Lepisosteus oculatus: one gene and its partners. The protein of the gene in region 1 binds, or shares a complex with, the protein of each later gene. Links are inferred from orthologs where the notes say so. Each region holds a gene or a part of one and is shown in the gene's direction. Other genes may lie near its edges. The genes, in order: taf6, taf4a, taf13 and taf7.

Region 1 (7,736 bases):
AGTGCAAAGATGGGAACAACTAGGATTCAAGTCTTTATTTAAGAATGGATGAGAATACAAAAGTCATACAAAAAAGAGCATTTACCTTAAAAACACTGAAAAACAAATACAAGACAAGAGTCAGCTTTTGTTTTATTTAAAGGCTGATTAATAAAAAGGGGGGGTATCTTGAAAACTGTGACCCCAGGCAGCTCTCGGAGTGAACACGACCTGTAATGTTAGGTCCTAACTGTTCAGATCCACGGGCCCACAGAGCACGGTCCCTCATCACAAGAGCTGCTGCAACAGGCAGGAAAAAAGCACCACAGCAGAGACCCACTCACCTGCAGGGGCACAGTCTATACATTTTCAGCCTTCTAAACTCCACACTTCCTAACTGAGGTAATGACAGCCTTACTTGGACCTGTTGAATGTCTTTCTCCAGTCCTTCTGGGTCTGGAGATCTGTTAAAACCTGCAGGACTGAAGGTCTCCAGGGCAGGAGCTGTGTACCCGTGTCTTACAGTGACAGGCCTGTACTGTGATGTAGAATGCAGTGCAGCGCTGCAGTTTTGTTTGAGGTTTTCTGTGACTCTGCTGGATCTTACACAGTTATACTACATAGTTTTACTGGTCTCTGCTGTTCTGCTTCAAATTGAACTGTACAATACTGTATTATAGCACTTTTATACTGTATCACTGCATTCTGTTGTAAATCACTAGGCTGCACTGCAAAAAAAAAAAACTATATTGGATCAGATAGTAGATGTAGCATACTGTATTCTACTGAACTCAGCTGTACTGTAGCACATACATAATATGGTAATATTGTGTACAAAAACGAAAGGTTAGGTATTTAACTCCACTAAACCAGACTGAACTTTTATGATATAAAGCAGAACTATACTGATCAACTCTAAGACTGTACCAAAACGGAATATAAAATTGTAATCAAACACACTGTGCAACAGATCACTGTACTGAGCAATATGGTGCTGTTCTATACAGCCTTACAGGAGCTCATCACAGCCAATACCTCACACAGGTAGCCTGTGCCCCCTGCTGCACTAGAATGGATATTATCATTAGAGTTCAGTCAGCAATGCAACACTTTTTAAAATTTTACGTTTAGCACATGATTACACTTTCTGAAAAAAAAAGAACTGGCACCCGCATTCAATGACCAGGGGTGAGCAGAGTTTTGACTGCACCGGAGTACCTACAGTGGAGCCAAAACCAGGTTTCATACTCACAGCACTGAAAGAGAGAATCCAAAACCCCTCACACTACTGTTTTGGAACTTTTGCTTTTCAAGACATTCAGTCAAAATGAGAAGAAGTGTAACAATAAAAAAACAGGCTAACTAAAAACTGTAACAGGCGGTTGCAGAAAAAGGTAGCGGCAGCTCTCTCCTTCAAGATCTCACAGCGATCACAGGGACTGTGTTTGGCTCTGGCTCACTCAAGTCTAAACTGCAAGTCTAAAATGAGCAGTTTAGTTCATTCAGGACAGGATTAAACCCCACCTAAAAAAAAGGAGAGCAATCAAAAATCACCTCCTCATATTTGTAGCGTTGGGTGACACAGCAGCCAGTGAGTGATTAATGCTGTCGTGTAGCTGTAGTGTTAAATGACACACTTATCCAGTCTCTGATGTGGCAGTGTAGCCAGTCCTTGCGTTTGGCAGCAGAGCTTATATTGGGGATAGAGTCCATCCATCTGGCTATAATAACATTCCTGAGAATATGTAAGGCCCATAGCATCTCAGAGCTCCCCTGCATCCCGTGAGGTGTGTGCTGCCCCTGACTCACTGCCCCCCTCACTCTCCTTCTCTGTATTCTCTTGCCCTCTCCCGCCTGCGCTTGCGGTCTTCTTATCCGGAGTTCCCTTCTTCCCCACGTCGCCTTTCCACATCTCCTTCAGGCAGCCTGCCGGAGAGGGGAGAGGGGTCACATGTCAATGCGTGGCAGTGGCCTGGAGTTCCTCTGGGCAAGAGTCTGCTGTGGCGCGTGCATGCTGCAGTGTCTGTAAGAGACAGTGTGCGCTCTCACCCATGTCAGAGCCCTTGAGGACGCGTTTCTCACACAGGAAGGTCTCCAGTCGCTGGTCCTGATGGTGGAAATACCAGTCCTCCACGACATCTTCATACTGCTCCAGCATCGTCTCGCACTGCAACACAACACCAGTCCACACACAGTGACACAGTCCTGTACAACACCCTCATTCTGCCCCAGCAACACAACACCAGTCCACACGCAGTGACACAGTCCTGTACAACACCCTCATACTGCCCCAGCAACACAACACCAGTCCACACGCAGTGACACAGTCCTGTACAACACCCTCATTCTGCCCCAGCAACACAACACCAGTCCACACGCAGTGACACAGTCCTGTACAACACCCTCATACTGCTCCAGCAACACAACACCAGTCCACACACATTGACACAGTCCTGTACAACACCCTCATACTGCCCCAGCAACACAACACCAGTCCACACACAGTGACACAGTCCTGTACAACACCCTCATACTGCTCCAGCAACACAACACCAGTCCACACGCAGTGACACAGTCCTGTACAACACCCTCATTCTGCCCCAGCAACACAACACCAGTCCACACGCAGTGACACAGTCCTGTACAACACCTTCACACTGCCCCAGCAACACAACACCAGTACACACACAGTGACACGATGCTGTACCATCATCATCATAACCCACTGCAACGTTGACACACAAAGGAACTGCAGCACATTATAATAAAGGAACACCCTTCAACACCATGCAATACATACCACAACCACACAAGATGACTAAAAACAAAGACAACGCAGTGATGCGGCCCACAGCGCCCCCTGTAGGTACCTGCTTCTTCATGTCCGACACCTCCACTGAAGGCTCGTCCCACAGCTCATAGGGGAGGCCCAGCTCCACCTTCACACCCTTATTCACCAGGTTCTTCAGAGTCATCATGGTCTCACTGGTGCCCTGAGACAGGAGCGGAAAGTGAGACCAAGAGAGGGGAGGGCAGGACCTTCAGCGTTTATTAACCAGACACTGACTGACCTTGGCGTAGCGCAGGCTGCCCGGCCTCTCGGCATGGACGTTGTACTCCAGGATGCCCTGGCAGATGTTGTCGATGGCCTCCGCCAGGCGCGTCTCTCTGGGAACACGTACACACACAGCACACGGGCACAGCAAATGTGTCCATCAGGAAAGGGGTTCGGGCTCAATCGCCATCACCTCCGCCCCCCCCCAGCCTTCGCCCTGTCAGCACCGTACTCACGAGGTGTTGTATTTGATCTTGCGTTTGCGTTTCCCTGTGTCCAGCACCTCGCCGAGCTCCAGCACCTCCTTCGACCGGCTTGTCTTATCCAGGGAGGCCTGCAGCTCCACTGTCAGGAACTTACAGACTGTGGGTCATAAACACACAGAGACACAGCAGTGCTGACACACTGGCCAGAACTACAGAGACACAGACACATCAACACTGACACACTGGCCAGAACTACAGAGTCACAGACACATCAACACTGACACACTGGCCAGAACTAGAGTCACAGACACAGCAGTACTGACACACTAGCCAGAACTACAGAGTCACAGACACATCAACACTGACACACTGGCCAGAACTACAGAGTCACAGACACAGCAGTACTGACACACTGGCCAGAACTACAGAGACACAGACACATCAACACTGACACACTGGCCAGAACTACAGAGACACAGACACATCAACACTGACACACTGGCCAGAACTACAGAGTCACAGACGCAGCAGTACTGACACATTGGCCAGAATTACAGAGTCACGGAAATCCCTGTTGAAATGCAGTTTGGGTGATTTAAAAGGCTCTACTACCAACCTTACACTTTTCTGTATAAAGTAAAGCTTGTTACAGTGTGTTACACTTTTCACAGCTGTACTCTTCCCTAGCAGTAAAGTAAATGGACGCACAGTACTGTATTGCGATATTATTTGCCAGTATTTTAATGGAGGGGCTGTCTATCCCCGTCTTTCAACTGAATTAAAGACAGAGAGACAGCAAAGCTAATCTCTGTGCCTTACTCACCTTCGCATTTATTAGGCAAGCGCTCATCCTCCTCCCCAGCGGAAAAGCTAGGAAAAAACAGCACAGCGAGCAATATAATTTTCATTATTTAAACAGCTTCTTCTAAAAAAATAAAACTACGGTTCTACTGTGAGGGATACAGCCACATCGACATATCAATATATCTAACCGCACAGTGAGGGCACAGAGCATGCGCACTTTAGCATGTGTGGGTACGGGATTGGCAATGAGTCTGCGCATTGACACTTTGTTTGCAGAGTACAGGTCCTGGAAGCTTAAAGAGCTTAAAGAGGTATACGATTAGAAATTAAAGGACAAACCAAAACAAAGATTTTGTAGTCATAGATGTATTTCTAATGGACGAATATATATCACATTCATATAATATCTATGATTATTTGAGTCTTTCTAAGAAAAAAGCAACTCATGTGATGTAACGTATCTGTAAGGGACCTGGAAGTCCTCACCAACCAAATCAAGATGGCGGCATTTCCAGAAAAGAGTGTCGGGGCATGAGGAATAATAATAAAAACATTATTTCATACTGGGCTTTTTTTCCTTCAGACGCCCGATTCTGCAGTTGTTAGTACATGAAAGGTGAGTGGTGTATGATTATCATCTGCGTTAAGGAACATGAACTCTGCTGAATGTGTAAAGCGAAATCGAAGAAAATGCGGGAAACCAAAACATAACGATAGTAGCCGTAAGATGTATGAACAAGAAAACACATGAGAGGCAGGAATTGAAATTTCACAGAACACGACGTGATTCTTTGAAGTGCTGATGTTATAGCATGCAGTAGAAGTACTGCAGCAACAATGCAATACTATGTGTCTCGGTTTTGTAAACGCGTCTCTTTCAGACTCGCTGTATGATTGATGTGGTCTAAGCTTCTGATTAAGTACGCCAATATTTAGCTTTTCTTTTGCGTTTTCCATGGTATCTTTCAGCGTTAGTAATCTCTCAGAATTCAGCTAAATTCAAGCGCTAGATGGTTCAGCTAAGGAGCGTGACGTATACGATGGATGACGTCACAAGAGTATAGGTGGACTGTTGTGAGGGGCCACATCTCTGACTTTGCCACGAGAGACCACCTTCCTGAGCCTCTGGTTAAGACTCTGCCTTTACATGTCTGCAGTTGTGCTACTATTTCTCTTTTCTCGCGTAACGGAGGGTGGTACTTCTATGGCTCAGTCAGTGTAGTGCTGTGGTGTTTCTGGAAAGCGTCTCTGCAGAGGCCGGATAGGGTATCGCATTGTTAAGCAAGATCGAAAATAAAAAGCTTGAGCTTGATCGCGCGTCTCCGATTTTAGCTTCTCTATACTGGTAACCAGTGTTGGGCTATTATTATTCAGGCTGATAATAAGATCTTGCAGCCTGTTTGTAGGGCTTAAAATAGTCCATATGATACTGAAGACTGCTTGGGTTCTGCTGGAGGGCCCTGCTGTACGTACCAGGAGCCAACACCTACAGCATGGGAGACCGTTCCATCAGGACTCCGGCACCAGGCCCCTCTGCAGCTCCTTCCCCAGGATTAACAAGGAAACGACCACTGCTGATCTTTTTGAAGACATTTTATACACCAACAGCCTTTTTATGCCCTCATCTCTTGTTCTTTTTTTTCGTGTTTTTTTTTGTATTCTGAGAAGTGCTATTTTTAGTGAAAGGCACTATTTAATAATTGCTCATAAAAAAACATCCTCAATAAGACTTACACTCTCCCAGGAATTTGTGTTCCACTTCACTAGCAAAAACAGCAGAGATTTCTGAGACCTACAGAACTGAGGTACAGTGTCCCCTGTGAGGGAATTCTGGGATAGACGTACAGAACTGAGGTACAGTGTCCCCTGTGTGGGAATTCTGGGATAGACTTACAGAACTGAGGTACAGTGTTCCTTGTGTGGGAATTCTGGGATAGACTAACAAAACAGGCGTACAGACAGTTTCCCTTGTGTGGGAATTCTGGGATAGATTTACAGATTTGAGGTCCAGACAGTGTCCCTTGTGTTGGAACTCTGGGATAGACTTACAGAATTGAGGTACAGACAGTGTCCCTTGTGGGGGAATTCTGGGATAGACGTACAGAACTGAGGTACATGCAGTGTCCCTTGTGTGGGAATTCTGGGATAGACCTAGAGAACCGGTGTCCCTCCGGTTGGTGTTCAGTGCCATGTATCTCTCTCTCCCAGATGGCAGAGGAGCGAAAGCAGAAGCAGTGTGTGACGGTGCTGCCCACCGAGTCCATGAAGGCCATGGCTGAGTCGGTTGGGGTGTCACAGCTGCAGGAGGAGTCCTGCCTGGCCCTGAGCGAGGAGGTCAGCTACCGCATCAAGGAGATTGCTCAGGTCGGTGACTCTCCGTCTTATCTGTGCCTGTCTGTGTTCATCTCTCACACATACCCCCCACGCCACTGCGCTCCAGCACAAGACTGACCCTCTGTTTCTGGATGACTGAGACGCACCACCAGCTCTTAGTCAGCCTGTTTCCTGTGCCTGTCTGTGTGCCTTTCTCTGATGCTTGCATCCGTTTGTCTTTCAGAAGTGGAAGTGATTTATTTGTAACATGTGTTTGTCTGTGATGGGTGACCAATTTGTGGTTTAGGCTGTGATTGGCTGACAAGTTCTGTCGTGCCCTCAGGATGCGCTGAAATTCATGCATCATGGGAAGAGGCGCAAACTGACAACAAGCGACATCGACTATGCCCTGAAGCTGAAGAATGTGGAGGTGAGACCGAGGGATTGCCATGCGTTTGTCACCATGCTCATTCACACAGGACCTGAGTTTCTGAAATTATCAGTTTTTATAGTAGATGTGCAGTGTGTGTGGTATTGTGTTTGCGTATAATAGCGTGTTGTGTGTGTGTGTGTTCCAGCCGCTGTATGGGTTCCAGTCCCAGGAGTTTATCCCCTTCCGTTTTGCCAGTGGAGGCGGCAGAGAGCTGCACTTCTATGAGGAGAAGGAGGTGGACCTGAGTGACATCATCAACACGCCCCTTCCCCGGGTGCCACTGGATGTGTCGATGAAAGGTAGATGGCCGATCAACAGACTGACCTGCATAGTGACTAATTGACAGACAGTCTGACTTACTCAATGACTCATTATCTTGCCTGTCTTGCAGCTCATTGGCTGAGCATTGAAGGTGTCCAGCCAGCCATCCCAGAGAACCCGCCACCAGGTGAGAGGATGCTGGGATCTGTAGTCCCGCAAAACTGCTGCTTTTTGTAGTGACAGTGGGAAATGAGCAAACATTGACTTTTGTATGGCACTGACCCTAGCTGTAGCCACCTTTAGTTTAATCAGATTTTACGATTGTGAAACACTGGTTGTCTTTCTCTCATGCCCTCCTCCTATCTCACAGCACCAAAAGAGCAGCAAAAGGCTGAGTCTACAGAACCTCTCAAGGCCGTGAAGCCCGGACAGGAAGAGGAGGGGCAGATTCAGGGCAAAGGTCAAGGAGCGACAACTGCAGAGGCTAAAGGTTAGTAATCCTACTGCTCTTATGTAGTGAGGGTTGAAGTGCTGTGTAATCATTCAAAAGTTTCCCGATCTGCAATGTATTTTCAAGGGGGTCTTTGTGTTCAGTTTTCATTTATAGACTGAGTATTAACGGCACTGGAAAAAATAAAATTATTAAGAGCTGTAATAGTCTGGTGGCAGGCTCGTCGGAGGACCA
Region 2 (8,206 bases), on another chromosome or scaffold:
AACACGTTCCAAATGATGACCTCCATTGTGACTTCTTACGATTAAGAAAAATGCACCTCCACCCAAAACTTCAAGAGGTAACATAATAAACCTGTAGAATATTACACTTTTCTTTAAATGGCAATGGTTCATGCAGTCAGCTTTCATCTCAAAAGGTAATATCTTACAAAAGAAATGAAGCCATATTGTCCTGAACTGTGCAAACCCATTCAGTCACCATTACCTCAAACTAAGAGCTCAACACTCAGTGGCACTCACCCAAGCCCAGTGCTGCTGCATACTGCTGATTGAGCAAAGAGCTTGCTGCTAACTGGCTGTATGTGGGCATCATACTTCTGTAGGGGCTGAAGGGAACCTGGTGCTGGTAAGAGGCTGATGATCCACTAAGTGACGACTGCAAAATGAAGAACACAGCTATACGTTTAGATTAAATGCTAAATGATAAAAAAACATTTTCAATAAAGCACTTAAAAATGCATTAACACATCAAAAATTGCATTATTCGTATAAACTTTGGATGTCTGACGTGCAATGTTATTGAAAGCCATTGCATATTAATGACACCCAACAGTACAGTTATTCGAACAATAAGCAGAATCAGGCGCACAAACTTCGGCCACGAACAAGTCGCGTCCCACATACTTGCACAATCGCCGGGTCCTGGGGTAAGGCATGGAGAGGCTTCGGAGGCTCGCACACCGTTATGTCTTTAATATCACTTCCCCTGAAGATGATGTACTCGTAGATCTCGTCCCTGGGAGGCACTGGTCTATCTGTAGGGCGGCCCTCCGTCCCGAAGGATCGCACTAATCCAGGGAAGGACAAATGGCATTAAGACCGTCGGTTCCCACTTCATTACTTACACACAGGTAACAGGCTAGCACCTAACTCCTAAAATAATGACTATCCCGAAGTAACATTCTTAAGAACCAGAACTTTTTCTTGCTTTTACGCCGGTAAAACAATCTTTAACTTGCGAACTAGTCTCTTAAAAGAGATTCAAAGGTACCGAAAGGTAACTGGTTACTGGCGCCACCACCTCAAACGAGGATACAAACACCCCGCCTCTCAAACACAATCATTTCACGGGCACCTAAGAGCGTCTCTGTTACATCTCCTATAAATAAACACGAATAAAAAGGTTTGTAAGTTTCCACTGGAAGAAGGAAAGCAACTGGTACTCACCTTTAGCTAACGCCACGGTCGAGTTCTCCGTATCTATGGTGTACAAAATACCCTCATATCGGATCTGGGCCTTGGATATGAGGCCAATTTTGCTACCAAGGTAAGGTGTTCCGGTACTCATGGCCGGTATATATGTACTTCCTTTACCAACTTGTAATTTTCAAAGGAGATTTTTTTTTTCCTCCACTCCTACGTTCGATCTTTAATTGTAGCAATGTTAACTTGTTAAGAACACCGATCTTAAACATCAAACTCAGCCGAGTGATCCGCCGCCCCATCTCGCACGGTTTTATAGAGAATTCGGCAGAAGAGGCTGAAAACAATCTATCAATCAGACAGTCAGACAGACAGACAGACAGAGGGTGCCCCCTGCCGTTTGGAAGACAGAAGTAAAGACTCTAGTAATGTTTCGCGTTTTGCTCAATGTCGTAACCCCCAACTTTGCACTTGAGCCGTAATGCGGTATGTTGGCTATTGGCCCTTTTAACGATTAACTGTAGAGCAAAGATCCAAGGACAGCGTTAAGAGGAATTGCATTTAGGACAGAAACTAGCTGCTACTTCTTTACACAAAGCGTTGTGAAGATCTGTTACACAGCTAATAAATATTTCCTTACATTTATATAGCTCTTTGCTGGGCACTCCACTCAAAACGCTTTACAGATAATGGGAACTCCCCTCCACCACCAGCAAAAGTGATGGCAGACACATATCAGCTATGGAAGAGAACACAGTAATAAAGCCAATTCATAGATGGGGATTATCAAGAGGCAATGATTTGATAAAGGCTGGGTGGATTTTTGGCCAGGACACCAGGTTAATATGCCTACTCTTTTCATGAAGCGCCCTGAGATTTTTAATGACCACAGAGATTTAGGACCTTGGTTTTACATCTCATCCAAAGGAAGACGCCCTTTTACAGTCTAGCGTCCCCGACGCTATACTGAGGCATTAGCACCCACACAGGATGCAGTGTGAGTGCTCCCTACTGGTCCCAATAACACCTTTTCCAGCTTTCCCAGAAGGTCTCCCATCCAGGTATTGGCCAGTCTCAAACTTGTGGTTTGCCAGCTGTGCGTTGCAGGGTGATCTAGCTGGTATCTATAGCTGCCTCTACACGGAGTTGAAACACATTTCCCGATTCCTTATGAAAAGGATTTATGAAATCCCTTGGTAAATAGTAAGATGTTATCACCTAAGACAAATCAAACTGACTCCTAGCCTTTTTTAACCTCAATGTGTAATGGAGTTCTTCAATACAATTAAAATGTCTTAGACATTCATATTAACACTCCCAGTCTCACTGAGTAAATTGTATTCACACCATTTTCCTCTGCATGTAGGGAGATTTAGGGAGATGGTCGATGGCACAAAAAGATAGAGAACGAGTTTTAGAGAACCGCTCAGATTTTATAAGTCTCATTTTATGTATTGGTGACTCCACTGTAACTACTACATGACTTACTATGTAAGTATACATGTATAATAAGAATCTGCATCTCCTCCATCCATGTAATTTTTTTTATATAGCCAGCACCTACATTACTCTGCAACTCACAACTGACAACCCACTGAAGCTCAGCAGGTGTGAGCCTGGTCAGTACCTGGATGGGAGACCTCCTGGGAAAAACTAAGGTTGCTGCTGGAAGAGGTGTTAGTGGGGACAGCAGGGGTACTCACCCTGTGGTCCATGTGGGTCCTAATGCCCCAGTATAGTGACAGGGAGACTATACTGTAAAACAGGCACTGTCCTTTGGATGAGATGTAAAACTGAGGTCCTGACTCTCTGTGGTCAGTATAAATCTCAGGGCATTTCTTAAACAGGTTGGGGTGTAACCCTGCCCAAATTTCTCATTTGTCTCCTAATAATCCCCAGTAAATTGGCTTCATTACTCTGCTCTCCTCCCCACTGATAGCTGGTGTGTGGCGAGTATACTGGTGCACCATGGCTGCCATCACATCATCCAGGTGGATGCTGCACATTGGTGGTGGTGGAGGGGAGTCCCCATTACCTGCAAAGCACTTTGAGTGTCCAGAAAAGCACTAAGTGTAAGATAATTATTAGTGAAAAGGCACCAATCTGGTGTCAACTCTGTTAAAAGACAGATGACAATGCTAGGCGTGTTTGAGATCAAATAAGTATATACCTTTAGGGATAAAATGGACAAGCAGCCTTTCAGGTGTGTGTTTAGCAAACAAACAGTGAAAGATACACGACAACCAGTAAAAAACATTTTAAAGGGCTACAACATATTGAAGGAGAGACAGCTCACAGGAGAGAATACACCTATGTAATCCACGTGCTCTGTACATTTTCAGCTTCTTAGCAGGTTAGTTGCATATGATCTTGATTTTCAGTGTAGCTTATTCCAGTCCTGCTTCCTCTGGCAATGTCTTGTTATACAGACAATACACATCAAACCTGCGCTGAAAGATAAATATATTGAAGTTGCAGAACCCATTAAAAGTTCAAATTTTGACAAACAAAAAACCAGTGCACATTATTTTACCCCATATATCATTGCCAACCGATTCAGCTGAGGCTCTTATGCATTGCAATTTAAATTCAGACATTCATCTTCTTACTGCATTTAGCTTGTTTCCTGTATGACAATTTTATAAACAGTCCTGGTTAAGTGTCTAAGCAAATCAAGGAATAAAAAAATAAATAAAAAAGTGGTGTAAGCAAAAACATACCCGTTAATAAATTAACAATACAATAATCACAACAGTACAAGATAACTCATTTTATGTGGATTTATTTGTATGACAATTTTGTCCAAAGCGATCTACAAGAGGAAATGAAACATTACAAATCTTAATTAAATTTATACAAAATGTACAAATTCACACTGCAGGGGGAAAAAACCGAGCAGAATACGTGCTGCGAATTGGGGGCGTGAGCATTTTGAATAGATGGGAAGCAGGACGTACAGCTACAGCTTGAAGAGGTCGAACAAACGGAGAGAAAGGAGCAGCCCTTATTTTTACTAGGACTGGGAAATGATTCGGCTTCGAACAAGGGCTAAAGGAACTTTAAAGTCAGACACGGGAGACTGTCAAATCGACACCCCGAAAAGCCTGGCCGTGCTTCTCAGGTCGTAAATGGGAGCACAGGATAAAACCCAAGTTTTCCTCGGATGAAGCGTCTAGCTTGGGTACTGCCACCTTTCACTAACGCTTCACATCTCCGCTACGCGGGTGTAGCATCTCGGAGTCACGGTCTGTAAATAGTCTGTTTCATACAATGACAGTTGCACTGACATAAATATACTTTCCCCTTTTGTTTAGTGGCGGAGTGCAAGAATTCATTTATCAACAAACAAAGCCAGCCATGCCCTCTTACACTACCGCAACACAGGTCAGATACGATTCAAACAAAAAAAAATAATCAGTTCCGGTCTAATAAAGGAAACCGCTTCTAACTCGCACCCACCGCTGAAATACACTTTACAGTATTACAAGATAACCCCCCAGTAGTCTCGACAGCATGTACTACACGCTCTTGGCAGCACTCTCAGGTGTGGCGCCCTCACACACTCTCTGAACTTACTGAACAAAAACAACGCAGCCATCTTGAAACGCAAGTACAAAAAGCCGAAGCGCCAAAACAGAAAGTCTCTTCGATTTTTGCCAGATTCACAACTCCAAACCAGCATTAAAGACTCATAAACATCACTGCCTGTAATTTCCAGTTGGGTCCGTTATTTGCGTTAAAAAGTAACGCGGACACAGCAGCTTAATACTATTATACTTAAACCCCACCAGCTCCTCAACCGACGGTGCTGTATCATCCTCTACTTTCTCGATAATGACGCTTTCAGCCATTTGTCCCGCCCTTTAAATCTGGAAACAACCAATCAGAATACGCCGGAATCCCTATCCCGGTGACGTTTCACACCATTCGCGCGTGCGTGAGGCCGGGTAACCCCCCCTCAGCTCATAGCAGAGTAAGATGGCGGCGGGCTCCGATTTGCTGGATGAGGTTTTCTTCAACACAGAGGTGGACGAGAAAGTAGTTAGCGATCTGGTGGGGTCCCTGGAGTCTGAGCTAACCGGCTCGGGTCACGGGAACACCGACATAAGAGGTCAGGCGGTGGGGAACCACATTGCAAGCCCTGGGGTAGGAGGCAATGCCAGTGTCCAGGAGAGCAAATTGGGACTTGCACAAGATCTGGCAAAAGCAGGTAATGTAACATAGTAAACGTTGTTTTGGTTTTTTTCTTTTCTGTTTCCGAAAGAGAAAATGTAAACGAATGCATTCATTGCCATGCCTTCCAATGTGCTGTGATATTTTTCCCTCTCACTCTGGTTTGTTTCCGTTCCAACAGGGGCTGGAGTGCAAGGGGGTGTTATTAATAATACGAGGTCCCAGGGTTCAGATATGGATGCAACGACAGGGATCACATCATCGGCGGGGTCGGAGGCATCAGTGGGGCTCAGCCAAGGCAAAACTGTGGCTGTCAGTGCCATGGTAACCGCTGTGCCCAACCACGGAGCGGGCAACGGGAAAATCGGGACGTCTGCGGTGCAAACTTTGAATGGGAGTAATGTAGTAATGAACTCTCACAATTCAGGAAGTGCCGCTGTTTTCCCCGGGACGCCAGTATCAAGTGCTACGACTTGCAGCAGCAGCAGCAGCACTGCACCTGCTGTCACAGTTGTCAACAACGGACCTGGATCGGTTGTGAAAGGAAATGTAAACGCTGTTTTGCCTTCAGCCTCAAGCACTGTTATACAGACCTCTTTCGTGAACGCGCAGAATGTTGTTACTTCGACAGTGATCTCGTCTCAGGCGACAAGTTTGGGAAGCGGACCTACAGTGACTCTAGTGCGGCCTCCGATGCACACGACCGGACCGGGTACGACGCAGAATGGGAGTACGAACAGTACGGTCCTGACTTCGGCGGTCAGTGTAGCGAGCCTGCCCGCCCCGGTGGGATCTGGAATATCTTTACAGGCTCCGCTTTTAAACAGCAGCCCGTCGCCCGTGAGCGCCGGGGCGCAGGTGATCAAGTCGGAGTCCCCCAAAACTATCATCCAGACTACAGCGCAGGCAGTTGCGCCCGGTGTGGTGGCGAACGCCGGTAACTTGACTCTTGGTCAGCCTATGCAAAACGCCCTGCAGCCAGGACCTCCACCGCAGCCCAGTTCGGCCGCGGCTATCGGGAAGAGTCCGGTCTTGCAGAATGTAGCCAGGACTTCCACTCCGGGAGCAGTCGTGCCCGGTCCGGTCGGAATACGGACTATAGCTCCGCAGGTGTTGGCTCCCCGCCTGCCCCACGCACCGCAGAATCAGCCAAATATCCAGAACATCCAGCTGCCTCCAGGTAAGCCTTTAAAAGTTTGTTTTTATTATTGAACACACCAGCAATTCTAGGGGTTTTTTTCCCCTTGAAGAACTTTTAAGAGCTGTCCTTAATTCTAGACAGGATCCTAACTCCTTCATAACTTAATAGGGACTGAATCGCTTTTAGTTCATGATTAGCTCAGCGTCTGAAGCCCAAGACAAATTTCATACACACGCTGTGTAATTATAGTCACGGTCTTGCTCGAGTAAGTCAAGAGATTGCACTTTTTTTTTTTACCTTTTATCTTTCTCGATCATGTCGGTCGTTTTATTTTCATGAACGATAATGTGCGTCTCAAGAAGAGCGTCTGCTGATGCCCCTTTCGGATAAGTCTGTGAATATGTGTAATTTTAAAGTTAGGGAACTGAAAAAAAGCTTATTTATAGCCTAAAGACCGAAAAGCTAAGCTGGTATCCAAACGTTTTTGGTTCCAATGTGTACGTTTTATTAAGTACTCCGACTTTCTTTCCTTCTTAAAGTGGCTGCTGCCACTACAACCTAGCAAGTAGAAAGTTTGGCTTGGCAAGTCCTTAAACCGTGACAATTGATGAAATATAAACAAAGACAATGTATTTTGAAGTTTGTAGAGCAAAGGTCATTATTGCACGTTAACTGTGTGTAACAATCAAAATACAGCAGCTATTCATAAACCCGTTACGTGAATCTATCCAAAGCTGAGGCTGGTGTTTCTCTCTTGGAGAACTTTTCAGGAGAGAGGAAGTTTGAGCAGGAACTTTGCAACTTATCACTTTGCAAGATAAACCTCTCAGTAAACATAAATGGCAGTTTAATTTAACAATGTAGTAGTAATAAATGACTCACAAACTGTTAGAATCAGTAACACAGGTGGCAGAAACAGTGATGACTGACAGAAGCAGTCCTCTGTGTGAGGTGTTTATTTTACACTAGTAGACATGACTGAAGTTACCCTGTGTCCTCTGAGCTAATCAGTGTTCCTAGGACCTCTTGTGCCTTAGACAGAAAAGTGAATACTGTATTATTTGTCTGTATGTGTGTTTGTTTTTACTTTCTTCGGTCCTTTAAAATCTAAAGTGTTTAAAAGCTGCTTGTTGCCATTGCTCTAAAGAGATTAATGATTACAGTGAGAAAAAGTATTCAAAAGAGGTATGTAGGCCTTATGTGTAGTTAGCTCCACTGTGAAGAAAGTTTTTAACAGTAATTCAAAACCACAGTTAGTCTAGTTACTGCATCTGCTGGTTTTGTTCATTTTATTAACAATCTGCATACCTTCGTGAACAGTTAGCCCACACAGAGGCACTGACAGATTGCTTCGGTGGTCTCTGATTTTGTACCTAACTATGACTATTAAGCATGAAGGAGGCTTAATTTCAAGCAAGTTGTTGCCGTTGTTAAACTAAAGTCTGGATTAGCTGGTGTAAAAACGAAGTTCATGTATAAAGGGTTGTTTAATCCACCGACGTAAAAAAGAATAAAGTTGTTGGTGGCTATGCTAAACGCTCCAGCTCAGAAATTGTGGTGGAAGAAGATGTGATTTCAAACTGCCAGGCACACTTACTACTTCACAACTTCACAGCACTCGGGCTATATATTCACTTCTCTTTATTTATAATAGTGCAAAGTAGGCCTGAGATATCCCTACATTGAATACTTCCTTTCTTTCTTATCCATCTCCCTGGGATATCAAAATAC
Region 3 (7,516 bases), on another chromosome or scaffold:
TCGGCCGTGGAGGTCATCGCCATCTTGGCCTCCAGCTTCGGGCTCCTGGCCTGCATCTTCTTCAACAAGGTCTACATCATCCTCTTCAAGCCATCCAGGAACACGATCGAGGAGGTGCGCTGCAGCACCGCGGCCCACGCCTTCAAGGTGGCGGCCCGGGCGACGCTGCGGCGCAGCGCCGTCTCGCGCAAGAGGTCCAACAGCGTCGGCGGCTCCTCGGTGTCCACGCCCTCGTCCTCCATCAGCTTCAAGAGCAACGAGGACCAGGACCTCCCCGCAGCGGGGCCGCAGAGGGCTTGCAAGCAGACGGTGAGCTTCGGCGGTGGCAAGGTGATGCTCTCTCTCAGCTTCGAGGAGCCCCGGAAGAATTCCGTGGCCGTCAGGTACAGCCGGAGGAAGAGCTCCCTGGAGGGCAAGGACAGCGGCGACAGCCTGATGAGGCACAAGGCCCTGCTGCCCCTGCAGAACAGCGAAGCCCGGAGCGACCCCAGCTTCAGGACCGCCGGCAGCAACCCCTCCCAGGAAGCCGCCGGCGGGAGGAAGCAGGAGGAGGGCAGCACCGCTGACGACGCCGCGCCCTTCCCTTCCGCGAACTCTGCCGGCTTTGGGGCCAACGCGTTCACGGAGAACTCCAGCAACTCCTAACATCCTCTCGCGACGCCCTCCGCGCCCGCCCCCCCCCCCCTTCCCAGTGCTCTCAGAAGTAGGCTGAGGCCGCCTGGGCTGAGCCCGAGGGGAGCTCCTTTGCGGCGCTCACATTAGAATCACTTTTTGTAACCTGGAGCTGAATGTCTAGCACTGTGAGCATCAGACCGAGTTTATCTCCTGCTCCTACCGGGACGCGGACCTTTGCTATATCTGTTTGCGAGCTGACCCTTCCAATTGTTCTGCAACTCTCTGCCTCTGCTTTTTATTGAGGAGAAAAAGTACTAAATACTACAAGCACTAAGATCTACTGAGAAAGGCCCAATTAAAAACATGCAAAACGATTACACAGAAATGGTAACCCAGTTTTAGAGAGACGTTACCACTCTAATTACAAGAATACATTTTTCCTTATTTGTGTTTATATAAAACAAATGAATCTTAAATTCTTAAATTAATGCGACACTGCTGTTGTGCTTTTCGAAGGTCATTTGTGTGAGCCTTTCTGAACTGGGGTTTCAAGGGTCTGCTTAAAACACTTTTTTAAGATGATAAATCAATACTCTCCATAAATAAGTATATTTAGCATTTAAGGTTATTAAGGTATTTAACAATAAAAATTACTAGCTATAATAAAGTGCACATCAGTATCCATGTTTTTCAAATCTATTTTCATTCACTGAAATTTAGAATGATAGTTGCTTTGCATTAGTCACTTCTACTAGTGTTCTACACATTGTTCAAAAATAGCTTTTTTGAGCAATTAAGCCCCTCACATACTATAATTTTATTTGGTACTGTAATGTCATTGGTACTGAAAGAGGACAGAGGGTGAAGTATGAAGGGACTTTTTCATAACATTTATCAAGTATTTTCTACATAAAAATACCCGTTAAGGATTGTCCTTTTCTCCTTTTCTGCAAGTGCATGGTATACAGACAACAGATGAAATAGTGCAAACTTTTCGAATTGAGGCAGTTTACATTTGTGTGCCTGGTTTTAATCGTGATAAAGACCACAGACAAAATTACTCCAAAAACGAACATTGTATCAACCCATCAATTCACCAATCAATCAATCTTCATTCGCTGTAGCGCCCTTTGCAACAGTTGACCACAGAGGGCTTTACAGAATTATATTGTACAGCACCGGCTGACCCTGTGGGAACAGCAGAGACACAAAAACAGGTCTCAGGTCCAATGATAGCCCCCCCCACCAGGCAATAGATTAGCGGCACATTAATAATGCTGGGTCATTAACGATCTTTACCATGCCCAAGGCTGGGATACTGCTGTCCTCAGGTTGTTGTCAGGGCTATCCAAGAGAGGTCGCTAAGGTGTCCTGTGTCTGCTAGCATGTATCCGGTAAGTACAAACTGTGCACACTGTTCAATAGCAGACCCGTTTAACCTGTACCATTCTCTTGGATGCAGTGACGTCAGTGAATCTACAAGAACATTTGAATCTTTCATCTCTTTCCTATAAAGTTTTTGGGGACACTAAGCATAATTTTAGTTTTCCAGGAATGTTGGGTAATTGAATATATAGGGGCTAGCACTGCAGTGTACTGTGCATTCTCGGGTTAGGTGTTCCTGTTCTAGATTAGTCTTCACTGCTTGAGGAAAAAATTGCGCTTCTGTTAATGCTAGGGACGTTTTAGAATAGTCTGTATGGATCTAAATGTATTTTCATGTCATTATGAAAGCAGTTAATACTTATTCAACGCGGGCCCTGTTGTTTCATGTGAACTATAAATCTTTGGGCTTGATGTCAAATGTAACCCCTGTACGAAAGATTAAACAACTTTGTTTTAAAAGAAATGTTCTCTTGGGGTTTAGCTTATTCTGGATAATAATTCTATTCGCAGTACAATTACATGAAAAGAACACCACCCTGTGCTACACATAACTTTATTTTAGATAGAGCTACTACTCTCCCGGACTGATGTCTGTCTGTGTCGATACTCGTCCGTTTTGTCTCCATTATCTCGCAGCTGTGTCCAGCACAGGGCCGCTGGGTAGCCAGGGCCTGTCCAGGCAAGCTGTTGGCATTTAGCAAACATAAAAACTGGTACTTGAAAGCACCACATCTGTTTTTCGCACGGTGCTCCGCTTTCGGGGGGGGATGCGTGAGATACCTGGTTTTCCTCCCACCCAGACCCTCAGTTACCTCACCAAGGGTCTCATTGACCGCCTAATTGGACGAGCAGAAGTCTGCAGAGAGGCCCGCCGGCTCCGGCCCTTGAGGGGAATCACGCGTCTCTCCGGGCGCCCCCTGCTGGGCTCGGTGGGTGTGACTGAAACTCCAGCAACAGCGTGGGAGCTGCCGAGCCCATTCCGCACAGGCCAAGAAGAGACCAGGGCTACACGCACACGCACTTCAAAGCTGATTTCTTCCTGCCGACCGAGGGGGTGGAATTTCCCAACAGCGATTCCAGAATAAACACGATGACGATGGTTCACGTTGGATGGTACGAGCAGGGCGGCAAACGGATTATCTGGTTGACTTTATTGTAACCATTGCTAGCTTGGAGAATACGCAGTTTAACCACTGTTTCTCCTAACTGTAGCGACCATAGGTAGGAACAGTCATAGACAATGCTCACCCAGAATTACATTTAATCCGGCATTATTCCTTTTATTTTTCCAGCCAAATCCGGCCAGGTTATGCATTTATACAGCGTGACATTTTACGGCATTTGTACCATCATCCGCATGCAGAGAAAGTGTACAGTGTTTGTGGACTGCAATTCGCTTAATGTTATGTGATTAATACTGGCCTTCTAAAGAGAAAAGATTTTTAAAAAACATTTTTTAAGTCATGAAAAGAAAGTCCACATTATAGGCACCTCGTTCAATCAAACTGACCTCTGCAGCTAGCTACCAACTTAATTATTGTAATTAAAGCGATTCCCCTAATCGGTCATTCGTAGATCTCTACAGTGAGATGGACTCAAAAGACTGCACTAATCGGAAAGTCGTGGGTAGAGACTCCTGATCCTGCTTTGCATTTAGAACAGTTTTGTCTTCCAATCTGCGCAGTATCTGCGTAGAGCTGCGGGAATCTGCGCAACCAGGACTCGTCCACTCGCCTCACGCCGGCGTAGATAAAACCATCGGCGTGGGTGCAAAAGATGTCTCAGAAACGGATTAGGAGTTTGTTTTGTAAAGTATTTTACTACAATTGTGTTTATACCTATTTAAGTTCTGGCAATAGGTGACGGTTAAAGAATGTAATGTCAGTAAGCGCTCCGGTTTGTAATGGTATAATCTGACCGGAAGGTCACATGACCTGGGACCCAGGAAGTGAATGGTCGCTAGCGCCCAGCGCTTGTTTTTAGTAGTTCCCTGGACAGCTGCAGAAATTTGTTCCCTTGGTAAAGTACCGGTACAGTTTTTGGCGGTTGACTACACACACTCTTCAAGCTTCAGTCTTAGCCTGTAAAATCCCGATTTTTTTCTGCGTCTCCCTGCACACCAATTCGCTACAATTGCGGCTTTAGTAGGATCTAGGATGGCCGACGACGACGATGACCCCGCGGTGTGTATTTATCTTTTTTCTCGCCTTTTCACGCTCTGTGATACTTTTGTGATGTCTTCGATTCATTCCAGCCTCATAGAGCCTAGTGCTCATTTCCTTTCTCTTACTTCAGTGACGGGGGGAGACATAGGTGAAAGTTCGCCCGGGCTTGTTTCATTGTACTTGGTCCTGGGGTGATGACAATATTCATGCACATCGACACCGGCATTTGGAATTTCATGTTTTGTTTCCCTGCAGTGCTCATTTTAGAACAGTACTGGTTTAATACAAAAGAAAATGTTGTATTTAGGTTGGACTGAATGTTGAAGCTCAATTTAAAAACAAGATCCATAAATTAATTGCTTGTGTAAAGACAGCGGGCTCAAATTAGAAACTGCAAGTTGTGTCCACCAGCGAGCTTCATGGCAGAAAGGATTTGTCTGTCTGTACATGTTCCAAAAAGCTTAATTTTCGTGCACGTTTATGAGTCGCCTATTAGTATTTATAATGCAAGTCCCGTTTAAATGTTTAGTCAGAAGGCAGTGATGTGGCCAAAGCAGCGCTACCCTTGATTTTTATTAAGAAAGGGGAGTTTTCGACCAACCCTCCAGGCCACCGTCTTTTATTACAGATCTGCAGCAGCTGGTTGACCTCTTAACGCCGGTGATTTATGAAACGATGTAGTTCAGAGATCACCTGAAATCCAAATACCTGCACCCCATAGTTCTTGGGGATGCCAGTGGTTCATTCCTGAACCACTTAATGTACAGTATTGGCTCAACTGAAGAAAACTCCGGTGTTCTAAGTTCTTACTAAACCGGTGACTCTCTAACACCTGCTGGAGTTGGGCTCTGCAGAAGCCTGGGGTGGCCACAGAAGAGTATAGAACGTTTAGGTGTTACAGTGGTGTGTGTGTGTTTCAGATGAGCTCTGTCCGTGCTTTACTAAGAGTGACAGGAATTCCAGTGTGAAATGTGATTTTCCTCCTGGAAGTGAACTGGTCCCGTGCTCCGCTCTGTCTTGCAGTTCGAGGAGGATGTCGAGGAAGGAGGCAGCGGGGCAGAGGGGGGTCATGGGAGAAGGAAAAGGCTCTTCTCCAAAGAACGTGAGATTTTCCATTGGCTTCCCTCTGACGTCGCCTCGTGGCACAGGAGCTTGTTTGTTTTATACGCGAGACACGCATGTCCCGATTTAAAGCTTCATCCTTCTCTTTTCTGCCAAAAAGCAGTCAGGGCTCGTTTTACTGCTGTCAGCTTTAGTCAACAGGACAATTCTAAAGCTTCAACAGAATATTTTTGGGGGCCTCTGCTTAATGGGAATATTCGTGAAGTATTTACCTCAGCTATTTTTTACGTAAAAAACAACTAACAAAATTATAGAAATTTCCTCAGCTTTTTATCATAAAACTGCGAAATGCAGAGTAGTACCAGTGTACTTTTTCATATCAGAATTCCCCTCCTGCTGCAGTCGTCAGCAGTCGTAATGTGTTTTCAAAGGTGCTGTACCTTGTTGATAGTTACATACTTCAAGACTTTGATGTTATTTTTTGGGGGGTTCTTGTTTTTTCTTATCATCTTCTCTCTTGCTTTTGTCTTCATGTAGTAATAATAATAATAATAATAATGTGTGCCATTTCATTAACAATTGTAGCCTCAATTGCAGTTTTGTGTGGTATTATCTCCCTCACACGCAGTTCGATGCATGATGTATGGATTCGGGGACGATCAGAACCCCTACACCGAGTCTGTGGACATTCTGGAGGATCTTGTGATAGAGTTCATCACAGAAATGGTACGTTGTGAGCACAGCTGCTCTGTTCTGCCTAGCAGTGTGAGCCTGAGTTCGAAGGGTGAGCTTTGCAGATGAGAACATTCATTTAGTCGAGCTCTGGGAAGCAAATGGAGGTACAGAGGGTCCCTGTTATTAGTCACCGTAATATGCATCAATATTCATTGCTTCAGCTGTACTTCATCAGTTAATTAAGGAGCTATATTCATTTTGTTCGCACGATTATGCACTTTTTCAATGAACCAAAACCCAGCAATGTAGGCTGGCTGGCAGGCGCTGCAGTGTGCTGCGATGTGGCCCTCTGAACGCACTGCGAATGTACATATCGTATCTTTATATATTTGTTGGAATTGATGGGGAAAAAAAAAGTGTTGGTGTGAGGTTTAGTTCTATTCACAAGAGGCAATGTGTCACACTTCCACTTTCCAACATATCAATTCCATTTCCCTGGTAAGAATAATAACATTTGTCTCATCAGTTTTGATTTGTTGTTTTTATGGGTTTTAGGTACATTTTATGTAAATACATGTCTGAACTGATTGTGTTAGGAATGTATCTCAAGCTAATTACATTATTCCTCATGTATATTAATTCCTCTTTCTTGCTACAAGTTGCTTTATTTAGGAACCTGCACTTGTAGCAGGGGCCTCTGTAAGGGTAAATAAATTCTTCATATTACTCATGTGGAAGACATCTGTTCTCTGCAGTACTAAAACTCCACAGCATGTGCTATATAGTGCACTTCTGAATAATTTAGTTCGGTGTTTTCCAGTCCTACTCCTAGAGGACCACACACATGCTAAGTTCTGATCCAGCTGAGATGTCTGCTACACAATTGAACTCCTTAATTGACTTAATAACAGAATTAATTTGACCTGTGTGACTGTTTTCAGCTCTTGTACATGTTGGAGGTTGTCTTTGAACTATTGCATTTCATAAATAAAATTCCAAGCAAGATGAGAAAAAAATTGATTTTTTTTAATCAAGCAACTAGTTAGTTCAAGCAAGACTTGTTCAGGTAATTAATGTAATGTGTTTTAAAGTGTGTTCTCCACCCCAGATGTAGATAATAGTAACAGAAACATTGTGTTTTAATTAGTTGATCATGAAAGTTTCTGTTCAAAATAGACAGATCATGTTGCTTATTTGTTGTTCAGTGTGAGTTTTGGCTTGTGGAAGACTTATGGACGTTTCTGTTTTTCCTTATTCAATTCACAGACGCACAAAGCCATGTCTATTGGGCGACAAGGTCGAGTTCAAGTTGAAGATATTGTGTTTCTCATCAGGAAAGATCCTAGAAAGTTTGCGAGGGTCAAGGATCTGCTGACTATGAATGAAGAGTTGAAAAGAGCCCGAAAGGCCTTTGATGAGGCTAATTATGGATCTTAGTTTCCAAAACCAAATCTCTAGGGCCTATTTTTTACTGAACTGTTAAATTTTATGGATTTTGTTTGTGCTTGACACTAGAATTTGTATTGAAAGTTCCGTGTGTTGTAGAAATGTGTACATGTCTGAAATGTAACATTTAAATTCTCTCAAAAGTTAAATATTTTGCAACAGCCATG
Region 4 (8,533 bases), on another chromosome or scaffold:
ACACCAGCCAGTTTATCCTGAACAGACTGGAGCAGACCCAGAGGGGCAAGGTGTCCCTCTCGGAGAGCATGTCTGACTGAGCCTCGCGGGGGCACGGAGCCGGGCCTGAGCACAGCGCCACAGACATGGGGGTGCACCCGCGAGGGACTGACGGGGCAGGCCAGGGGCGCGAAGACAAGTACAAATGCCCCTGGACTGCCGGCACCCCCTGCCATGTTGTTTTACCCCAAGGGCTGATTCTGACACCTCCCTCATCTCTCCGGGTTCTAGGAGTCATTAGTGAAAGATTTCAGTTTCGTAAGACTACGGAGTTGCCTTTAATTTGAAATCCCCAAAATGTTTACTACATGCAGAGTAAACCTGTTCAATGTATGTAAGTGAAAGGTAAAACCACCTCTGGTTATGGAAAGGTTGTATTGTGTGCATGGATGAAAACGATGATGAAAAGTATGTTAACTGTTGGTGGCTCAGTCCATTCAAAGCTTTAAAGTGTTTAAATTGAATTTTAGTGTGAACATTCGACAGCGGGAAGCTCTCAAAATACACCTACAGTGTGACATTGTTTGCCCTGTTTCCATTTCAAATATAGAAAACTGAAATCGTACTGCTTGAAGTCAGTTTTTTTAGTTAGGTTTGATTTTTTTTTTAAAGTAACGTTCGTGCTGAATTCCTTGTTAAGCCATTCAGTGAGGTTTTTAGGATGTGAACTATGTTAATTTGAGTGAGAAAACAGACTCTATTGTGCTTTTTAGCCACTAAACAATCTAAGGCACCTCTTGCATAAAATTAACTAACAAAACACATACTGTATAAAGAAAAACTAATCATAGCTGAATTGCAGTTAAACAGCTTTCAGTTTTTATTAAAATCCTAAACTCTTATTTACAATAACAAGGTATCAAAAATTAAAGATTGTTTTTTAGAAAGGAACAATAAATATACACATTTGATTTATGACACCAAAGATTACAAGTGTGCTAAGCCATTACGCTTGTTAATACTGTAGTTTTCACGTATATAGCATTTGGGAACGGAGGAGATCAGTCCACCTGTCACATGTAAACAACCATACAGCTTCTCCAGAAAGCCACTGTAATTACACTTCTCCATGAAATCTCCTCCGGCCTCCAGCCAGACAAACTGCACACTGAGTAAAAGTGGAAGAATCTGTGCAGTGTGGAAAATCAACCCGTGGAACCTGTCCCTGCCACCAGTGAAAGGCACGAGGTGGTACACATGACCCCTGAATAGACGTGTACAATAACCTGGCTACTAGTCTCCAGTACTGCAGTTCATTGAATTACAGAATTCTCCAGAATTACGGCAATCCTACAGAAGTACTGAGAGTTGTGCAATTCAGAATTATACTAATTACTTATACTGTATAAACATATAAACGTGTATGAAATGATTGACACAAATGAATAATACTATATTAACCGTGTTCAACTTTCTGGACCTCAAGTTGTTAATTGCACCACTGGTAAAAATACATTTAAAAAGGCACCTATTCACGTGACAGTTAGTGAAAAAAGTTACTCTAGTGTTTTGTAGCTAAGCATTAACTTCAGCACAGAAAATTAAATTCTCTCAATTACAGTTTCCTAGACCTACATAGATCCTACTGTAAACCTTGGGATCAATAAGAACAAAAGACACTTAAAAAAGCCAGTGAGCTAATGAGCACAGTGCTGTGTGACGTGTCAGTCCTCTCCCCATTTTTATGCATCCTCCCATTTCAGTGCCACATGTTCTGCAAAGAATGGGAACAGAACTAGTTTTAATAGTGCAGACCTGTCAACCAGAGCCAGCGGCAAAGGAGAAGAGTTAAAAAAGATGATTCATGGGGAGTAAAAACGAAAGGAAAAGGAACAAGGATGGCAGTATGAAGTCCTGTGAAACAAGAGGGACTTTTGTGAGAGTAGTCATTTGCAGAGAGAGGGGGTTTTGCTTCCTTTTGGACGAGTACTGTATTTTAAAATATTTTAGAAGGATACTTCCTAGAAGGCACGGTATCCTTCCCAGATTCCGTTCTAAAAATATCTTCAAGACCCCGAATTATTATAAAACAACAACAACAGATGGGTGTTAAAAGGATCTGGCTCCACTGTTAGGTGACCGTGACGCTGCTGCTTCTCCTGGCTGCGCTGTCAGGAGAATGCCTCTTACTGCCTCCCTCCCTCAAAGGCTGTCCCCCAGGCGTTTCCGCCTCCTGGCTGGGCACGGGAATATAGGGCTGGCCCCAGGGGGCCCCTCTCTGGCCCCTGCGGAGGAAGAGTGGGAGGGCATCCCAGGTGAAACTGACGTCCTTGAAGGCGTGGAGGAGAAAGATGCCCACGATGATGGTGAGGAAGCCGCTGATCGTGCCCAAGATGCCGTCCGCGGACATTTGGAACCACTCCTTGAAGAGGATGGCGGAGCAGGCCATGACCGCGGTAGTGAAAAAGACGTAGTAGATGGGAGTGACGATGGACGTGTTGAAGATGTCCAGCGCCTTGTTCAGGTAGTTGATCTGCGTGCTGATGCAGGCCACCAGACACACCAGCAGCGCCCAGAACAGGGGCTCCTTCAGCACCGGCTTCCCCGCGAACAGCTCCTTCGCGCCGATCCCCAGCCCCTTCACACAGGACACGGAGAGGGAGCCGATCGCCGAACAGATGAAGATGTAGACCAGCACATTCTTCTGGCCGTAGCGCGGGGCCACGATGAAGATCAGGACCAGGCTGCTCACAACGACGCACGCGGCGAACACAATGAAACCTGCAACAGGCAGAAGACAGCAGTTCTGTTAAAGTGAATAATCTGAAAGAAAGAAATCGGGCGCTCGCTCGGCAGCGATCACAGCTTTCAACATCCAGCTTTTTGCATCCCACTTCAGCTTTCATCGCCGGCGTCTTCCTGTGGCTCAAGCCAAAACCAGACAGGGCTGTGATCACTGACCACTGCCGGTCACTTAAATCACAAACTTCAAACTTAATTTCAGCCCAGTGAATTCCGGAGGGCACATTCACCCCCGAGAGACTGTGCAGGTGTGTGACGTACCGGGATCTTTCAGCTTTTCCGCCATGGAGCTCAGGGAGTCCACTTCCTCCTCCTGTGGGGCATGGATGACCATCACGGTGGAGCCTAGGATGCACAGCAGACACCCGATCTTCCCGTGAACATTCAACCGCTCGTTGAGGAAATAGGAGGACAGCACAGCGCTGAGGAAACAGGAAGGGTGAGAGGGAGCTCTTGGACAAAAATGAAAAATGAAAGTGCTAGCACCTGTCAGAAATGTAACAATCTTTCTTGCATATCTGTATGTTATTAAGAACACAGGTCTTTTTGTGATGTGTTGTAAGTGACCCTTATTAGGATGGTTTGATGGAAGGTACCAAGACCATACTTGAAACAAATATCGGAAAAAAGACTTTTTTTTATCCAAGCGATTTACCACTGTTTTCATCAAAATGGCACACGGGTAAAAAAAATACACAGAGAAATCAAACAGCTTTTGCAGACTGAGCTCGTGTGTGTGTCCTGACTCACCTCACCAGGACGCTCAGGGCTCCCAGCGGCGTAACGAGCGTGGCCGGCGCAAAAGCGTAGGCCGCAAAATTCGCAGCCTCTCCCACCCCCACTGCAACACAAGAGGGCAGAGCAGGTCAGGAGGCACGCCAGGGCTTCTGCCATGAACACACTTTTGTTTTCAATCACAGTACTTTCTTTCAGAGGGTTTGGGCCTCCAGTCTCTGGCAGAACATGTGTCTCAAAGATTTCCAGATTAAAACAACGTACAGGTGAGCTGCAACGTCATGACCCGTTCATAAAAAAATGAAACACACCCGAGTATCTGGACATAACGCGCAGCACAGAGCAATGTGAGAGGAGAAGAGAGACGAAAATGGCAGAGAACCGAAGAGCCAGAATGGTTCTGATCTGGACATCCCTCCGGGTTGTCAAAGCACCACAGACCACCACTGGGTCAAGCGCTGGTTTAAACAAAACAAAGGCATGATCTTGGAAAGAAGTCTCTGCTGCTCAGACACGTCTTTCCGTAGCTCTTATTACAGTAAATCATAGTGGAAATGACATTCCTGAATGCTTTTGAAGAGTCTCGAAAATAAACTGTAGGACTTGTAGAACCCAAAAGGACACAGACTTCACGACTTACTTGAAATAAGTCCTGCCCACCACAGCCACTCCTTGAGGTAGGCGTGTCCTCCTTGGCCTGCACAGGGAAGGACAAAACAAAATGCCTTCATCTCCCAGTGTCTCCCGCTGAACTGCAGCTTATCACCACTGACAGCATCAGTAGCAGGAGTACAGGTATGTTTCCTTCAACACTTGTTTTAGCTCATGTCCAATACACCGACTGAACCAGTTTTTCAACGCAATCTGGTTTTCTGTGACAGGTACAAACAACAAAACTGGGAAACAAGTTCTCCAGCATCAACCGAAGAAACTCACAAGTGGGAAAAGACATTCCATTCCAACAATAATACGCCATATTTAAACACAAACACACTGCAAAGTGAACATCTTCCTAATTAAATAAATTTCATATTATCAACAATGTGAAATTTTAAAGAGATGCAAGAATGTCTCACATTTTCCCAAGATATGATGTAAATGGGTGCGACGTATGCTGTAACTCTTCCTGACCAGGTCACAGAAGGAAGTGACAATGACAAGATGACAGAAATGATACACGGTGAAAACACAACAGTCTAAGTTTCACATCAATGGTTCACTTCCCATTCAGGTACTGCTGTTTGCGTTTTACAGTGTGAGCAGTTACATTTGCTGGTTGTCTGAGTAGTGTACTGTGCCTTGGGATAACAAAACACTCTGCTCAAGTCATGTGATTGGTATTTGAGTTATTTTCGGAAAAAAACTACTTTAAAACTGGGCTCTATTAAACAGCCTGGAGAAACTGAAACAAAAGTTACACAAGGCACAGAGATTACAACGACGAATCATGCGATCTAACAGTAAAGTCGACAGTAAACGCAAGGACAGTGAGTCCCGATAAGGTAAGACACAGTCGCAGTGTGGACACGTACCCGCTCGCATTGACCCCTTACTGGCCAACCGGAGGAGCCCCTTCTTCTTCAGAATGAAACTGCCCCCAATAAAGACACTGGAGCAGATGGCCAGGGAGAGGCCGATGTAGAAATTCACTCGGCTCGCAGCATCGATATCCATCTGTTGACAAATGATTCAAGAAAGTCTGATACTGGAGAGAAATCACAGCTGAGCTGAGATTTAAAAAGAAAGAGAGAGAGAGACGCCTCGATCTAAAACTCAACAGCTCAGGTATGACTGTTTCGTATTACATTTCGTTTTACTGAAACCTATCTGGAGATTGAATGCAGCGTCGTTGAAACAGGTCAAAGTCAGTATCTGCTCGTTTGTTGAGGGTGAGGTTGAGGTTTTTTTTTCTAAAAAGCAATCCGTTAATTCAGTTCTTACTGTAGCTATAATTCAATTTTCCAAGACGTTTATGTGATGTCATGGGACAGCTTTGTCATAAAACAATAAGTTATTTGTAGAACATGTACATAATTCAATTAAACCTATTCTGTAATAGGGAAAAAAACAGGAATTTACCTTGCAATCGTGCCCATAGACGCCTGATACAGAGCTCTGTCACAGGCCGGGGAAACCGCAACTTCCTCCATCAACCCGTCCTCTCCGTCTGCAGGTCCCCCAGCTCCGGCTGCCCGGAACCTTTCTTTCTCCTCTTCTGCCGCGAAGCACCGTTTTGAGCTTTCTTCTATTTTAATTAAGTAATATTATCGCTGAAGACACCGGAATCCGTAAGGCAAAAGGCGTTTAACCGAACTGTTGACTTAGTGAATGTGAGCCGTATTAAAACGACGAGAGCAAGGCGGACCCTTTGGAGAGCGGGAGTTGTTGTTTACAGGTAGTCTTTTCAAGAGAGTATCCGGTTGTGTTGTTGTGGAGGAGGAGGTACAGTTGTTGTTGGTAAGTTCAGTACGTATTTCTTGCGGGATACAGTAAGATTATATTTATGATTTTATTTTGCTGCCTCTAACTATATGTAACATATTATTTTAATAGGAGCCAGGGTGGTGCCGTTTATATAGTTTGTTTTTTAGTTTACTTTATTCCCTGCACTATTTTTGAAAATTTGCATCAAAATCAATACGTTAGTTGAAGCACAAACAATAAACAACGATATCTCATATCTCCTAATCGCTTCTTTCTCTGCGTAATAAAAATATCAATTTTCTTTACAGAGGACTTCGTATAACGCAAGTGTTTATGCAGAATAAGAAGATCAAAATGACTTCCAAAGCAAAAGGTTCGACATTTCTTTCTGTGCACTTCGTTTACCTGTACATATTTATATCCGGATTTATTTAAATTTCGCTTAGATGGTGATGCTTAGTTAAGTCGATTTCATTACAAAAAGACGCCCTTAACTGTTGATGTCTTGATTTGTTCTCCTCCAGTGGGAAAGGCAGGCTCCAAAAACAAAGACGACGCGCCTCATGAGCTGGAGAGCCAGTTCATACTGCGGCTGCCCCCGGTACGGAACCTGAACCTCTCCGAGATCGGAGATGCCGAAATCGACCTCATGTAGTTTCCATTGAAACGTCCTCCTGTTTTTTTTTTTTTTTTTTTCATGTAGGAATACGCCTCCACGGTTCGGAGAGTAGTGCAGTCTGGTAGCGTCAATCTGAAAGACAGACTCACCATTGAACTGCACGGTTCGTACCCTGGAAGAGTTCCTCGATTGCTCAGATATTACGGGACTTAATCACTAATAACCGCATGTCTGGATGTTGCACTGGCTTCATCGTTCACTGGATCGCAACAAACAAACTGGGTCGAGATACAGACGGAATAATCTGGCATATTCGACCATTTTCTAGACCCGATTTAAGGGCTAAAAAAAACAACACCGAAATGACAGTTGTAATACATGTGTCCCTCTACGGCGTCCTTATTATATTAATAGTTCTTACAGTTAGGTAACTTGATATCTAGGTCAATTTCAGGTGTTAAGACACCATACTGTATGTACTTAAAGAATCCTACACCAGCTCCTGAAAATGTAAAGCTTGTTCTTATGTTATGGTGGTCATTTTATGAAGTCTTATTTCTTTCCCAGTTATGATCAGTTGAGTTTGTGTTAGAGAATGCATTTCTCTGAAGTTACAACAGCTTCAACAGTTGTGGCCATGTGCTTTCACGCATGATCTCAAAACGAATGACCCCTCTGTGCAGCTGACGGGCGCCATGGGATCGTGAGAGTGGATCGCGTTCCTCTGGCCTGCAAGCTGGTGGACCTCCCCTGCATTATAGAGTCTCTGAAGACAGTGGATAAGAAAACCTTTTATAAGACTGCAGATGTTTGTCAGGTAAGAACGAAACATTCAAAGGCATACTGTGAAAATTCATGTCTAGTTTTAAAATGTACACTTACTTTGATGCAATTAAGTTTTAAACTAAATTTCAATTTTATTAGGCTATATGCACAGTATTATTTTGGATCTGTTTTCCCTTATTTAAGTGTGATTGATTTTATTTGTTCTCCAATGTTTAATTGTAATTTTTCTGTAGCATTTTTTCACAAATCCTGGGAAGTAGTCCCTTCCTAGTTATCTATCTAGTTATTCAGTTATGAGTGGCTGACGCTCTTTGTGTTGAGCTGTTCAAATGAATATTGTATGTACACAGATGCTGGTGTGCACAGTGGATGGAGACCTGTACCCCCCTCTAGAGGAACCCACAGGAACTACAGAGCCCAAGAACAAGAAGAAAGACAAAGATAAAGACAAGAAGTTTATATGGAACCATGGCAGTGAGTATCCACCCTGCTCGCCTCGTTGCTTTAAAACGTGTTGTTCCTTGTTTTTTCAGAGGCAGTATTATAATGAGCCTGGTAACAAAATAGAGTTTAAATACTTTGAAATTAAGTTTCAAATACGAGACTTAAGATGTACTGTAGCAAGGCAGTATTTTTTCTTTCGTTAGCAGTAGTTCTTCTGTGGGTTTATGCAGGTAGGTGGATGTGTTTGCGCTGAGCCTTTTCAGAGCTTCCTGAAGATTTTCAAGTGACTGTGAACGGCTGTGTCCATATGAACAATAATAGTCGTCTTTGGTTTTACTGTCTAGTCACTCATCCCTTGAAAAACACCAGGAAGAGAAGATTCAGGAAAACTGCTAAGAAAAAGGTAAAATTTAATGTAAAATACCCCCAAAATCTTAAAGCTATGTCAAGACTATACCCATGTTGTAGGTATATTGAGAGGCTCTTGAGATATTTGTTCTCTGGTATAGATTTTATGAAAAGTGTAATAAATCAGGCACACTGGAATAATCAAATATGTATTAATGATGGCAATAACACACTAAGAACACGCAACACAAAATGCAACATACACTTTACTCTATTTACAAACAAGGTGTATCGAAGGCCTTCATCCTGACCAGCCAAAAGAACTGCCAAATATTCAAATCCTGTATAATGTCTAACAGGCCAAAAAGAGATATAAACCCGTCCTCTTAATCAAAC

What was found.
Region 2: taf6 (region 1) and taf4a share a complex: the UniProt entries of both Homo sapiens proteins name them as parts of the TFIID basal transcription factor complex. The link is inferred for Lepisosteus oculatus from reciprocal best matches to the Homo sapiens genes TAF6 and TAF4.
Region 3: taf6 (region 1) and taf13 share a complex: the UniProt entries of both Homo sapiens proteins name them as parts of the TFIID basal transcription factor complex. The link is inferred for Lepisosteus oculatus from reciprocal best matches to the Homo sapiens genes TAF6 and TAF13.
Region 4: taf6 (region 1) and taf7 share a complex: the UniProt entries of both Homo sapiens proteins name them as parts of the TFIID basal transcription factor complex. The link is inferred for Lepisosteus oculatus from reciprocal best matches to the Homo sapiens genes TAF6 and TAF7.

Annotation. Positions count from the first base shown.
Region 1 is NC_090698.1:7,387,816-7,395,551, forward strand, and holds the start of taf6 (transcription initiation factor TFIID subunit 6), read left to right. Parts: upstream 1-4,534; 5' UTR 4,535-4,660; intron 4,661-6,252; coding exon 6,253-6,408; intron 6,409-6,700; coding exon 6,701-6,787; intron 6,788-6,935; coding exon 6,936-7,089; intron 7,090-7,181; coding exon 7,182-7,238; intron 7,239-7,421; coding exon 7,422-7,541; intron 7,542-7,736. Other genes in the region: cnpy4 (protein canopy 4), read right to left, coding at 1,742-1,905, 2,029-2,146, 2,850-2,972, 3,051-3,147, 3,271-3,397, 4,064-4,148. UniProt on the Homo sapiens protein: The TFIID basal transcription factor complex plays a major role in the initiation of RNA polymerase II (Pol II)-dependent transcription.
Region 2 is NC_090711.1:8,524,105-8,532,310, reverse strand, and holds the start of taf4a (transcription initiation factor TFIID subunit 4), read left to right. Parts: upstream 1-5,119; 5' UTR 5,120-5,139; coding exon 5,140-5,371; intron 5,372-5,515; coding exon 5,516-6,514; intron 6,515-8,206. Other genes in the region: lsm14b (protein LSM14 homolog B), read right to left, coding at 259-394, 643-806, 1,186-1,306. UniProt on the Homo sapiens protein: The TFIID basal transcription factor complex plays a major role in the initiation of RNA polymerase II (Pol II)-dependent transcription.
Region 3 is NC_090700.1:3,894,137-3,901,652, reverse strand, and holds the start of taf13 (transcription initiation factor TFIID subunit 13), read left to right. Parts: upstream 1-3,920; 5' UTR 3,921-4,157; coding exon 4,158-4,184; intron 4,185-5,189; coding exon 5,190-5,268; intron 5,269-5,856; coding exon 5,857-5,954; intron 5,955-7,169; coding exon 7,170-7,340; 3' UTR 7,341-7,516. Other genes in the region: casr (extracellular calcium-sensing receptor), read left to right, coding at 1-645. UniProt on the Homo sapiens protein: The TFIID basal transcription factor complex plays a major role in the initiation of RNA polymerase II (Pol II)-dependent transcription.
Region 4 is NC_090703.1:50,849,922-50,858,454, reverse strand, and holds the start of taf7 (transcription initiation factor TFIID subunit 7), read left to right. Parts: upstream 1-5,204; 5' UTR 5,205-5,301; intron 5,302-5,595; exon of another isoform or gene 5,596-5,802; intron 5,803-5,883; exon of another isoform or gene 5,884-5,973; intron 5,974-6,248; 5' UTR 6,249-6,273; coding exon 6,274-6,313; intron 6,314-6,464; coding exon 6,465-6,541; intron 6,542-6,643; coding exon 6,644-6,722; intron 6,723-7,242; coding exon 7,243-7,376; intron 7,377-7,695; coding exon 7,696-7,819; intron 7,820-8,133; coding exon 8,134-8,192; intron 8,193-8,533. Other genes in the region: timm8a (mitochondrial import inner membrane translocase subunit Tim8 A), read left to right, coding at 1-80; magnesium transporter NIPA2, read right to left, coding at 2,111-2,760, 3,043-3,203, 3,532-3,622, 4,157-4,213, 5,049-5,190. UniProt on the Homo sapiens protein: The TFIID basal transcription factor complex plays a major role in the initiation of RNA polymerase II (Pol II)-dependent transcription.